3 linked regions of the Mus musculus genome follow. The protein of the gene in region 1 purifies or fractionates together with the protein of each later gene. This does not show direct contact. Links are inferred from orthologs where the notes say so. Each region holds a gene or a part of one and is shown on either strand. Other genes may lie near its edges.

The links. The genes of interacting proteins can lie anywhere in the genome.
Region 2: the proteins of Zfp219 (region 1) and Chd3 purify together in Homo sapiens (affinity purification with mass spectrometry; 3 studies listed by BioGRID and IntAct, counting the BioPlex papers as one, with this or other methods). This does not show direct contact. The link is inferred for Mus musculus from reciprocal best matches to the Homo sapiens genes ZNF219 and CHD3.
Region 3: the proteins of Zfp219 (region 1) and Cdk2ap1 purify together in Homo sapiens (affinity purification with mass spectrometry; 3 studies listed by BioGRID and IntAct, counting the BioPlex papers as one, with this or other methods). This does not show direct contact. The link is inferred for Mus musculus from reciprocal best matches to the Homo sapiens genes ZNF219 and CDK2AP1.

What each region holds. Positions count from the first base shown.
Region 1 is NC_000080.6:52,008,156-52,010,733, forward strand, and holds part of Zfp219 (zinc finger protein 219), read right to left. Parts: exon of another isoform or gene 1,904-2,578; 5' UTR 1,821-1,903; coding exon 1,815-1,820; intron 1,508-1,814; coding exon 73-1,507; intron 1-72. UniProt on the Homo sapiens protein: Transcriptional regulator. Recognizes and binds 2 copies of the core DNA sequence motif 5'-GGGGG-3'. Binds to the HMGN1 promoter and may repress HMGN1 expression. Regulates SNCA expression in primary cortical neurons.
Region 2 is NC_000077.6:69,366,627-69,370,876, reverse strand, and holds the start of Chd3 (chromodomain-helicase-DNA-binding protein 3), read left to right. Parts: upstream 1-1,450; 5' UTR 1,451-1,485; coding exon 1,486-1,741; intron 1,742-1,798; exon of another isoform or gene 1,799-1,887; intron 1,888-3,156; exon of another isoform or gene 3,157-3,318; intron 3,319-4,250.
Region 3 is NC_000071.6:124,351,829-124,356,068, reverse strand, and holds the start of Cdk2ap1 (cyclin-dependent kinase 2-associated protein 1), read left to right. Parts: upstream 1-1,440; 5' UTR 1,441-1,697; coding exon 1,698-1,752; intron 1,753-4,240. UniProt on the Homo sapiens protein: Inhibitor of cyclin-dependent kinase CDK2. Also acts as a component of the histone deacetylase NuRD complex which participates in the remodeling of chromatin.

The DNA of each region.
Region 1 (2,578 bases):
CTGAAAAGGCGTGTGGGACAAAGTTTCGAGGACCAAATGCCACAACCCCCCAAGAAAATAGTGTGTACATACCTTGGGTGGCCGTGGATCTCGCCTGGGTCCCCGCGGCAGGTGCAGGCTGTCCTGACCCCTCACCTGGGTTGGGGTGCAGGGAAGTCAGAGAGCCCAGCGACCTGCCTCGGGCCCAGCTCTCCTCTTCAGCCTCCACCACTTCTTCTTCCTCTTCTGGTTCCTCTGTACGGTGTCGCCGAGCCCGGTTGGGAAGAGCTGAAGGCAGTGGGCGGAACCCTCCATAGCTTCGGCCACCTCCAGGGTCAGCACCCTCACCATTGGGTCGTACTTCCCCAGCTCGTACACTCAGGTAGCCTAAGAGGCTTGGGGGCTCTCGGCGCTCAGCCGGAGCGGGTGCTGGGGCCAGGAGGAGTGCAGGGCCCAGTGGCTCATATGCCAGTAGGCTCAGGTCGGGAGGCTGAGGGGCCCTGGCAGGTGCAGAGCCAGGGCCTGGAGCACGCAAAGGACCCAGCTTGCTGGTGTGCACCTTCATGTGGTTCTTAAGGAACCAGGGCTCCTTGAAGCAGCGACCACATACGGGGCACGCATGATCAAAGGAGGCCTTGTGCTTGCGCATGTGACCCTTGAGAAACCAGGACTGTGTAAAGCTCTGGCCGCACACCTGGCAACGGAATTCAGGTGGCGCAGGGGGCTCCTCCGGAGGTGCAGGAGTTGGGGCAGGGTTTGCCTCCCGGTCAGGCTCTGGCCTAGGTTCAGGCTCAGGCTCAGGCTCAAGGGCAGATCTGGGTTCTTGCTGGGGTGGAGGCGGGGGTTCAGGCGTAGATGTAGCCGCCAGGGGGCGCTCGGAAGCCCCGTGGGCCGTCAGACTGTGGTGCAGCAACTCCTCCTCCTGGCTGGAGCCAAAACTGCACAAGCTGCACTTCCAGGGCCTGTGCAGGATATGCAGGTGGCGTTCCCGCTCCGCTGAGGTGCGAAACTTGCCTTTGCAGAAAGGGCAACGGAAGGCAGATGAGGAAGGGACCTGAGGGCGAGCCAGGCCCTCTGCGGCAGGGCTGGACTGCATGCCGCCTGAGCTTCTGGCTCTCCCGAGTCGGGCTTCGCGAAGCAGGGCGCGTTCCTCCAACTCCAGCAACAGCCGTGCAGCAGGGCTGCGTGGACGCTCCGGCTGGTGCGTTCGGAGGTGTGAGCGCAGCAGAGCCCGCTGCGCTGCGCGGTGGCCGCAATGTGGGCACTGGAAGGCTTGGGCGCCCGGGTGGGCTCTCAGGTGCAAAGCCAAGATGGAATTGAATCGGAAGCGCTTTCCGCACACAGGACAAGGGAAGCGCCGTTCGCCTGCACGAGTCTCAGACCAACCCACTGCTCCCATCCCAGGCGAGCCGGGTCCTGGAGTCCCACTGACACCTGGTCCGTTGGAGTAGCGCTGCAGATCCAGCTCGCCGTCGAAGGCTGGTGGGGAAGGCTCTAGGTGGCCGACCAGGATGCGGGGACGTGAGCCCTGTGGGGAAAGATGCACGTAGAGGACAGGGTGGAAAAGACCACCCTGTAGAATGTAGAAAAATGCAAAGGCACGAAGAACAGTAAGAAGAGTGTGTATGGAGGTTGGGAGATTGGGACCTAACCTAGGTACCTTGATACCTCTCACCTCCAGAAACTGTGGGATGAGTGGAAGTTGGACACCGGGGCCAAGTTAATAACGTATGCTACTATAATACGAAGTTTAAAAAACAAAGAAACAAAAAAGGAGGCAGGAGAGGGTGTCCCGCTGAAGGCACTTTGCAGGTCAAGGACAGAACTTCACTCACCTCCATGGACCCCCTTCACATTCTTTGGTTCTGAGGATTGGAAGGAGGAAGAAGAAAAGCTGCTAATGAAGGCAACAGGTGCGGAGGTGCTAAAACAAGACAGAGCGATTGGAGGAAAGATGAGCCCTGGCTTTTGGCAGTAGAGTCACCCCACTTAGCAGCCTGTATCCTTGAAACCCATCCCTTCTTCCTATTGTGATCTTGGGGTATTCCAGCCTTCTTATTTGCTGTCCTCAAAACTTGCATCCCTTCATCTGCCAACTTGTATGATAAATACAGACTTCCTCCCCCAAATGATGTTTTAAACACCTAGTCCAGAACCGCCGCCGCCACCACACACACACACACACACACACACACACACACACAATGTGGGAGGCCATCATAGTATACCCCTCTTCCACTCGCGTTGGGCTGTGCCCCTGGATAAACAAATGTGGAGGGCTAGCCATACTCCTGTTATCCAAATGGTACTAGCTCCTCTCAGACCAGGGCCAGCCAGCCAGAAGCCCTCCAGGTTCCTCCTCCTAGCTTCTGCCGGCACCCAGTCTTCTGGTCTTCCTCCTCCCCCTCCCCCTTCCTGGATTCCTGATCCATTCATTTCCATTCATTACAGAGACTCATTCATGCATGGGAGAGAAACACCTCCCAGCAGCAGAGTCTGGAGACAGAGGGGGAGGGGCGTGAAGGGAGAGCCAGCTACAGAGGGAATGAAGAGAGTTGGGGGGAGGCCTGGAAGTTAAGGGGCACTACCAGTCTAGGGA
Region 2 (4,250 bases), on another chromosome or scaffold:
TGGAGGAAGAGGCGTTCGATGACACAGGAGAAAAGAATTTCACAATCTTCAGATCCGACCCTCTCCTCTTTCTCCTAAAAATCTGACCTAGTCACCACCAAATTAATTTCTCAAGTCAGACGATTTTACAAGCAAGCCACTGGAGGAGAGGAAGGGAAAGAGTAGAGATAAAATTGACAACATTCACAGAACACTGAGGGCTGGGCAAAGGAGAGAATCAAACATGGACTCCTTGGAAAAAAAACTCAATCATCTATTCATATCTCTCCCCCCAAAGTCACTAGGATTTCTGTCACTTTTTTTTTAAGGAGAAAAAAAAAAAAAGCCAGTACCATTTCTCATTTAAAAGCTACGTACACAATTAAATGCATTTTGACTTCAATGAGGTATGTAGAGAGTTATATATAAACATATATTTCATCTTTTTCCTTTTCAATGCCTGAAGGAAAAAAAAAAAAAACCTTCACATCAAACCACTCCCTTCTGAAGTATTCAGAAAAAAAAAAAAAAAGCTTTTCTTTAGAGAAGGGAGGTGGGGGGAGGAAGAAGACTAGTAAAGAAAAGAAAAATTCAATCTAGTTGGACTAGTATCTAACTAGTTAACCTTTAACAATTTATGCTGATGTCAGACTGAGCATGAGTACTGATTAATACCCCCCCAAATATTTTTATAAGGGGGGGAGTTAAGTCACAGCAGCCATTTTTGTTTTATGCAGAAATCCTTCATGCCCCCCAACACACACACACACACACACACACACACACACTCTCTCTCTCTCTCTCTCTCTCTCTCTCTCTCAATACACAAGGAAAATGTATTAATCTGTGCACTAATCAGTTATGAAAAAAGGGAGAAATTTGTGGGTTTCTGAGTAGAAGCTTGGAGATTGGATGTAACAGGGAGAATGGGGGTGTATGAAAAATGAAATATTAAGCCAGCCATTTTGTTTTAAAAGGGGATTTTACCCCCCTCTCTCTTTCTTTATAGAGGGGGGTGGCAGTGCTGGAGGGGGGGTTGTTTTAAAAATAATTTCAAGGCGGCCATCTTAGTGCCTCAGCTCTGAGAAATATTTCTGAGCGCCCCCCTCAGAATTTAAATATATTTAAAGCAACCGAGGGGGGTAGAGAGAAGTCGAAAACTTTTATATACATATATATAATTTTTTTTTTTTAAACGATCTCCCTTTCTTGTTCTCTTGGGAGGAAAGACAGAAGGGGGAAAAAGTCCTTAAATTTTTCCAAGAACATTTTTGGGGGTGGTGCGGCCCCCCTCCTCAGACGCCGGCCCCGGGGGTGGGTGTTCTGGAGGGGGGTGGCCCGGGGGTTTGGGGGGCTGGGGGAGGCGGTGAGGAGGAGGAGGAGGAGGACGCCGCCGCCGAGGAGGAGGAGGAGGAGGAGGAGGAGGAGGAGGAGGTGGTGGTGGTAGCGGTGGGGGAGGCGGGCGGGCGGTGGGTGGGGGGGTGGTGGGGGGGCCAGAGCCACAGGATGGCTTCCCCTCTGAGGGACGAGGAGGAGGAGGAGGAGGAGATGGTGGTGTCGGAGGAGGAAGAAGAGGAGGAAGAAGAGGGCGACGAGGAGGAGGAGGAGGTGGAGGCGGCCGACGAGGACGATGAGGAGGAGGACGAAGAGGGAGTACTCGGGCGCGGGCCGGGCCACGACCGGAGCCGCGACCGCCACAGCCCCCCCAGCTGCCACCTCTTCCCGCCGCCGCCGCCGCCGCTGCCGCCGCCCCCGCCACCAGGTAAGCGTCCGTCCGACTCCCCGGGGCCCGAGCGGAGCCGCGGGGCCCGGCACCTACGGTTCGGCCGAGCCGAGGAGAGTCCCGGGCGCCTGGCGGGTCTAGACGGGCCCGGCAGTCCGGGCGGCGGCGGCCTTGGGGCCAGGCCTCCTCCCCTCCCCCGCCGCACCCCTCCTCCGCCGCTACCGCGGCCGCCGCCACCGCCGCCGCCGCCGCCGCCGCCGCGCCCGGGCTGGAGAGCGCAGGGAGCGAGCTGCGCGCGCGGACCGGGCCACTTGGTCGCGGCTTTCGGGGGAGGAGATTTATTTTTTTCACCCTCGGCGGGGAGGGGGTAGGCAGGAAACGGCCGTAGCGAAGCCAGGGCCCCCCTCCCAGGCCGAGCGAGGGACCGCGGAGACCCCGGCGACCGGACGGCGGCGTGGGGGGAGGGGCGCGTGGGGGAGGGGCGGCCGCGTGAGCGCCCCTTGGGCCGGGCCCCGGTGGGGTCGGACTGAAGCCGAGTGGGTTCGGGGTGTGGAGCTGACTGCCACCCGACGCCCTCCGCTGGGGACTTGGGCAAGCAGAGGTGGGACAGTGGCCCGCGGACCAGCCCCTCCACCTGCAGGGACTTCGGTGCCCGCCAACTTAGGGGTGTGCGGTGGCACGCGTGGGAGGGGGCGTGCGAATGTTTGTAGCGGCTGATGACCAGAGGCAGGTGGTGGCCACACTCCACGCAGACCACTTCCTGGAGTAAGACTTGGACATACCGTCCACTCCCCCCTAGCTGGCCGCCGAGGTCTCGGGTCACCTCAGATTTGAAGAGAGACAGGAGAATGTCTGGGGAGCCAGATGCCCCCGGCCCCACCCTCGTCATCTCTGCCCCGGGCTCTTTTGTGTCAAGTGCAGCCCCCATCCCCCCCTCGTGACCCCGTCAGTCTGGGGTGGCCGAACTGCCCAGCTGTGACTCTCACGTGGCTGCCATTCACTGTCACTCTCTTGATGAAACCACCCACACACCCTGACCACGTTGGGGGGCGTGAACTGCCCACCCAGCTGCTCTGTCCTGACCATCATCACTCAGCACCCTTCTCCGAGATGACAAGTCACCTGCCACTGGCGTAGGACGTCCAGCTGTGCTTGGGACAGACCCTTCTCTGGATCAGTGGCGCAACTCTCAGACCACCCTCCAAGTGGAGAGTGATTTCTAGCTTCTTTAGGATAGGTGTCGCCAACCTCTGATTGGGGACATCCACACCCCCAAGTCTCTGGCGGCAGAGCAGCACACACACACCAAACTTTAAAACGTTATTTGTAAAACTGTCTTACTGACCACTGTGACTTTTTGTCGCACGTGTTGAGACAGCTTTTCCGGGGGTGGGGGGTGTTAAAAATAATGTGTTTAATGCGTATTGGGTAAAGCCTCACCCCTAACCTCGTCAGGTTTACCTGTAAAAGAGGAAAAGTTTAGAAAAAAGTTATTCCAGCGAGCCCTCAGGATTCCCTTGGAGTGGGGGAAGAATTAAAGATCCTGAGGAGAGAGAGGGCTGCCCGCAGGGCTGCCTGCGGCAAGGTGTGAAAAAGAGGGGAGAGGGGCTTGTCAGGTGAGTTAGGGCGTCGGTAACTCTCGCCTAACTGTTCTGAACTCCGGATCTGGTTTTGATCCCCGGCACTGGATGCCTGTAAGAGAGGAGAATGAACGAGCCTAAGGTCGAGATGGGTCTTTGTGTGGCGTCCTCCCTCCCCCCTTGCTTTTGAATCCTTGAGAAGCGTCAAAAGCTTTTGAATTTTTATGTTTGAAATGAAATCTCACCTCCTCTGTCTCCCTGGGCAATTTCATCCCCCTTCCAGCCCTCCAAGTCAAAATGACCCAGATACACCCCCTCAGATGACTTTCTGAGGTAAAACTTTCGGAAAATATTTTTAGCGTACTCATTATCCGTCTACCTCAGTGTGGGGAAAAATAAGTCTCCTCTTAAGGAGCTCTGTTCAGGCTGCCCGCCCTCGTCTCTTTCTGGAATATGAATTTGTACTCGTGAGAGCCTTCCATTGTTTTTCAGTGCGACTGCTTTGATTCTCACCATTTTTGTTTTACATTCTTACCCAAGACCAATTTTTATCCCTTCCCCCATCGCGCCAGTCTCCTTACATTGTTGAACGTTTAAAATAATAGCATTCGTGTTGGTGGGGGAAGGGAGCAGGAAGCTAAAGAAAAAAACCTCATTTCTTCTCCCTCCCCCTTCTGGCAAGTCTAGAGAAATAATATAACATAATATATAGATGTGATTCCTTGGGGGGTGGGGATGGGGGTGGGGAAATGATTGTGGGTGGTGCGGAAAATTCTGGTAGTTTCTTTGCAAAAGGTCTGAAAATACAAACCCACCTCCTGCATTCAGTACGCATGTGCAGTAGACCTATTATGGAGGTTCGTTGTGGGGGAGGGAGGGGAATTTGAGAAAAAAATAAATATAAGTGTGAGAGATTGATGGCGAGATTAGGAGAGAGGGGCGGGAGCAAGGCTCTTGCCCAGGCTCCT
Region 3 (4,240 bases), on another chromosome or scaffold:
TTTGTGTATTCATTCATTATGAATTTAAATTGTCCTGTTTTAGGTCCAGTTGTGTTAAATACATTACTAGAATTAATTTTATGCTACGTTCTGCTTTCAAAAATTGATTAGTGAAACATTTAAATTTATGTATGTGACTTGCTTTATATATTTTTACCAGCCATTGTAGAATGGGTAGCATTTGTTTCTTTATAAGAGAAAAATGTCACCAGGAAGCAGTTTGCCAGAAGGAGCCTAAGGGTGCTGCTGGTGGTGGTGGGGGAGGGTGGAAGAGGAGGTCCCCTCTTCTGCACCTTTCGTCCCAAAGAAGGGGGGATTAAGACCCCGGTGGTGGTCCCCTTTTTTTCTCTAGCGGAGAGGCTGACGCCGTTGTCACCAGATCCACAGATGATGTCTAAATATGACTAATTAAAAAAAAAAAAAACCTGCAAACCATGGCGATTAAAAACAACAGAAAAAGGTGGGCGTTTTATGTAATGTGATGAGCATTACTATGCAGGCAGAACTCCAAAATATAGTACCTTTGGAAGGTTATTCATCACATCCCAAATACGTTTGGTTGTGACGTTTCAGTCAGTTTAGAGATGGGCGGGGGCGTGTGTGGGGCGGGATAGGGTGGGGTGGGGAGGGGAAGAGGGGTCCAAAAAAAAAAAAAAAAATGGAGTGCAAACTCCGGGGAGTCGAAACTTTGCCAAGTTCACTCTTGCCTCCTTAGCCTATAAAAACCGTGTCGGGCACACAGTAGGTGCTCGGTTGAAATATTCCAAAGAGTTCGTGTGACAAACGTCATGACGGATGCAAGAGCGAATTTTCTAGTGGAGGTGTCGTTGTCTCTCCATCCAGCTTTTGTCAGTCTCAAAGGCGTCTTGGGTTCCCAAAGGGTTAAAAAAAAAAAAAAACAAACTCACTTAATCCAAGCAGAGACATGACATTTTTTTTTTCCCCGTCTCGAAATAAATGTCAAGAATGGGTTATTCTAATTCTGGGATAGAGCCAGACGTGGGCATCTGGAATGATTTCCGTGAATTAAAAAAAAAACAAAAAAACAAAAAACAACAAAAAAAACCAAAACCAAAAAGAAAAAGAAACCCAAAAAAACCAAAACCAAATCACCCCAATCGCCACCATTTTCTCCAGGTAATTTTCCATCCCTGCCCCCACAGTCAAGAGACACTGAGAAGAAGAAGAAGGAAAAAAAAAAGTACTTCTTCCATCCTCCCTGGCTGTTTAAGAAAAGAGGAAGGCGCGGGCCAATGAGCGGCGCGCGGGAGGCCGGGGCGCGGCGGGGGCGCCGCGGGGACCGCAGCCCCCCAAACTTTGGCAAGTTGCGGGCGGCGGCGCAGCGCGGGGCGCGGCCGCGAGAGGAGCCGCCCCCTCGACGCCCGCCGCCCCCTCCCGGTCCGGCCCCGGCCCAGCACCGACCGGCTGGGCTCAAAGTTTGCGGCCGCCCCTGCGCCGCGCGCCCGATGTATGGGTGATCTACTGCGGCGGCGGCGGCGGCGGCGGCGGCAGGGTGAGGGACGGCCATATTTGCCGGCGCGGCCCGAGCCGGCGACAACAAAAAGTGCGCGGGCTCCCGGCGGGCGCTCGGACGGCTGCGGGGACGTGGGGCCGCCCGGCCCGGGCCTCGGCCTCGGCCTCGCCGGCGCGCTCGCGGCCTGGCCCGGCTCTGCCCGGCGCGCCCGCCGCCCGCGGGGATGTCGTACAAGCCGAACTTGACCGCGCACATGCCCGCCGCCGCCCTCAACGCCGGTGAGTGAGAGCGAGCGAGCGCGGGCCGCGCGCGCCGCCCCGCGCCGCAAGTGTCGCCAAGTTGGGGGCTCGCGCTCCGGGCCGCGGCCCGGGGCTCCCCGGAGGCGCGCGGTGCCTTGGGCGGGCGTGCTGGCCGAGGATGGTGGCGCGAGGGAACGGGGCGGAGGGAAGGAGGTGTCCCGGGCCGGGGCAGCGGGAACGCCACCGCCGCCGACTCAGCCGCGCCGCCGCCGCCATGATTCCGCCGCCTCCGCTGCGCTGCCAAAGTTCGCGGTGCGCCCGGAGCTCGGCGGGGCAGCGGCCGGGGGCTCCCGGTGTGAGCGGCGGGGCGGCCGCGGATGGCGGGGAAGCGAGGACGCGGGCAGCCGAGCGAGGAAGGCTCCCCCCCCCCAGCTCCCCCCCTTTTTCTTTCCCCTTCCCTTAGGCTTTTTGGGCGGCTCGGCGAGGGCCCCTGCCGGCGGGAGGCGGGCGACGCAGTGAGCAAGGAGCGGGGCTCGGAGGGTCGGCGGAGCGGGACAGGCTGGGGCCGAGCCGGGTGCAGGGCGGCCGCGGGCCCGGGAGGGAATCTGGCCAGGGTTCCGGGCGGCGGGCCCGGTGGGCAGGGGCCGCTTCCTGGCGATGAGAGCGACTCCCGGGTTCCTTCCCCCGGCCCTCGGGAGACCCCTTGGAAGAAGTTGCAGTGCCCCGGCCTCGTGGGTTCTGTGGGCGGCATGCTGCGGCTCGCCGGTCCCGGGGGTCCCCATCTCAGATCTCCCACGTGGGGACGTCCCCGCAGGGCCGCGCTGCGCAAGCCAAGTGGACCTGGTCTCCCTTCCCCTCCGGGCCTGGGCGCCGCCGAGGAAACTCTTGCAAAGTTCCCAGGCAGCTTTGGGCTGTGGCTGGGGGCTAGCCCCGGACCCCAAGGGAACCCGGAATAGGGATGTGAAACTGACTTCCAGAGGTGACTGGCTTTGTGTCCAATTCCAGTACCCTCTCCTCCCAGACATTTGGCTGTGAGCAGACCACCCCAAGTAGTCTGATGCCCCAACAGATGCCAAGTAGTGGGGACCAGGAGGGATAAGGCCTTTGGGAGGAGTTGGGGGTAGAAGTTGGTTATGGTCGCTGTGTGTTAAAAATCCCACCCGCGTTGGCACTTCCAAGTTGGAGGTCTTGTGTCCAAATGTTGATTCCAGAACTCCAGAAACCCTCAGAGGGACCTGGAAAAGCTCTGGACGTGTGTTTTAAACCACTTCTCTGCTCTTTGGGGTTTGGAAAAGGTTGAGATTTAGGGTGCCAGCCTGGGAGAGTTGAAACGCTAGCACGTGGGCACAAAGACCCCCCCCCCCCAAGAGCATGCAGTCACTGTATCTTTTCAAATGGTTTCACTCCCTTTGGGTGACAGGATTTGTCGTCAGATATGATTTTTGCCTCTCAGTCTTCTTGGTCAGTGTTTGGGATGGAAGGGCAGTAGGTTGCGTTGCCAGCCCTAGGGAGACCAGAGACGTAGGCTTGATCTGGGCTAGTTTCCCGTGTGTCTTACACTGGGGACCTTTTGGGGTGTGGGTCCCAGTGCAGACCGCCCCTGGGACTCTGAAGCCCTGTTCTGGGCTTGCTAGCACCTGTATTCAGCTGTAGTTATTTTGCCAATGGGGAATGCCAGGATGCGTGCGGGGGTCTCCAGGTGTTCGGCATTTTGGTGGGGGCCCGCCCGCTTGCCGGTATTACTTTGCAGAAAGCCCTTCTCTCCCCTGCCATCTGCATCCAAGATGGACTCTCACAGTGGCTCCTCCGCCTTCCCTGTCATCATCTCTCACGCCCTCCAGGCCTGCCTCCTGCTCACTGAGTTGCCAAGCTGCGGCCTGGCCGGCAGTGGCAGTGGCGGAGTTAGACAAAGCCCCCGCCTTCCCCCGCCCGAGAGCCCCCCCCCCCCAGGGCGCCCCAAGTGGCGGGAAGGCCGCCAGCTCCCCAGGCCCAGGCCGCTCTTTGTCTGGCATGGGGGCGGGGAGCTGAGCCTGGCCCCAGGAGCTTCCTGGCCTCTGCCAAGCCCTCTCAGCTCTCTCACACTGCGCTCATTGTCTGAGATGCTCCACACCGGCTGAGCTGACGTGGAACCGCCTCCCTGGCCTCCTTCAGCCCAGGTGCCGGTGTCTTCCGGAAGAAGGGGGCATGATGGGCGGAGGAGCCCCCTTCCACCCTGAATCCCTCCCGGGGGGTGGGGGAGACAGACACCTTCCCTAATACTGCATATGGTGCTGGCTTTGACGCAAAGTCAGGTTTATCTCCACTCCTCCGGGGTGGTGGAAAATAGGCTTGAGGTCCTCCACCAGTATGGGGGGTACTTCTCATTCTTTCTGTATCCCCACTCCTCTAAGGGCATTCCCAAAGCCTTTAACCCTTCCATTGGGAAATATGGCCTCAAACAAGTAGAGAAACTGAGGCCTGGAAGAGCCTTGGCTGGTCCTACAGCCAAGTGGCACTGCTGGGACAGACCCCCAAGTCCTGGAGAAAA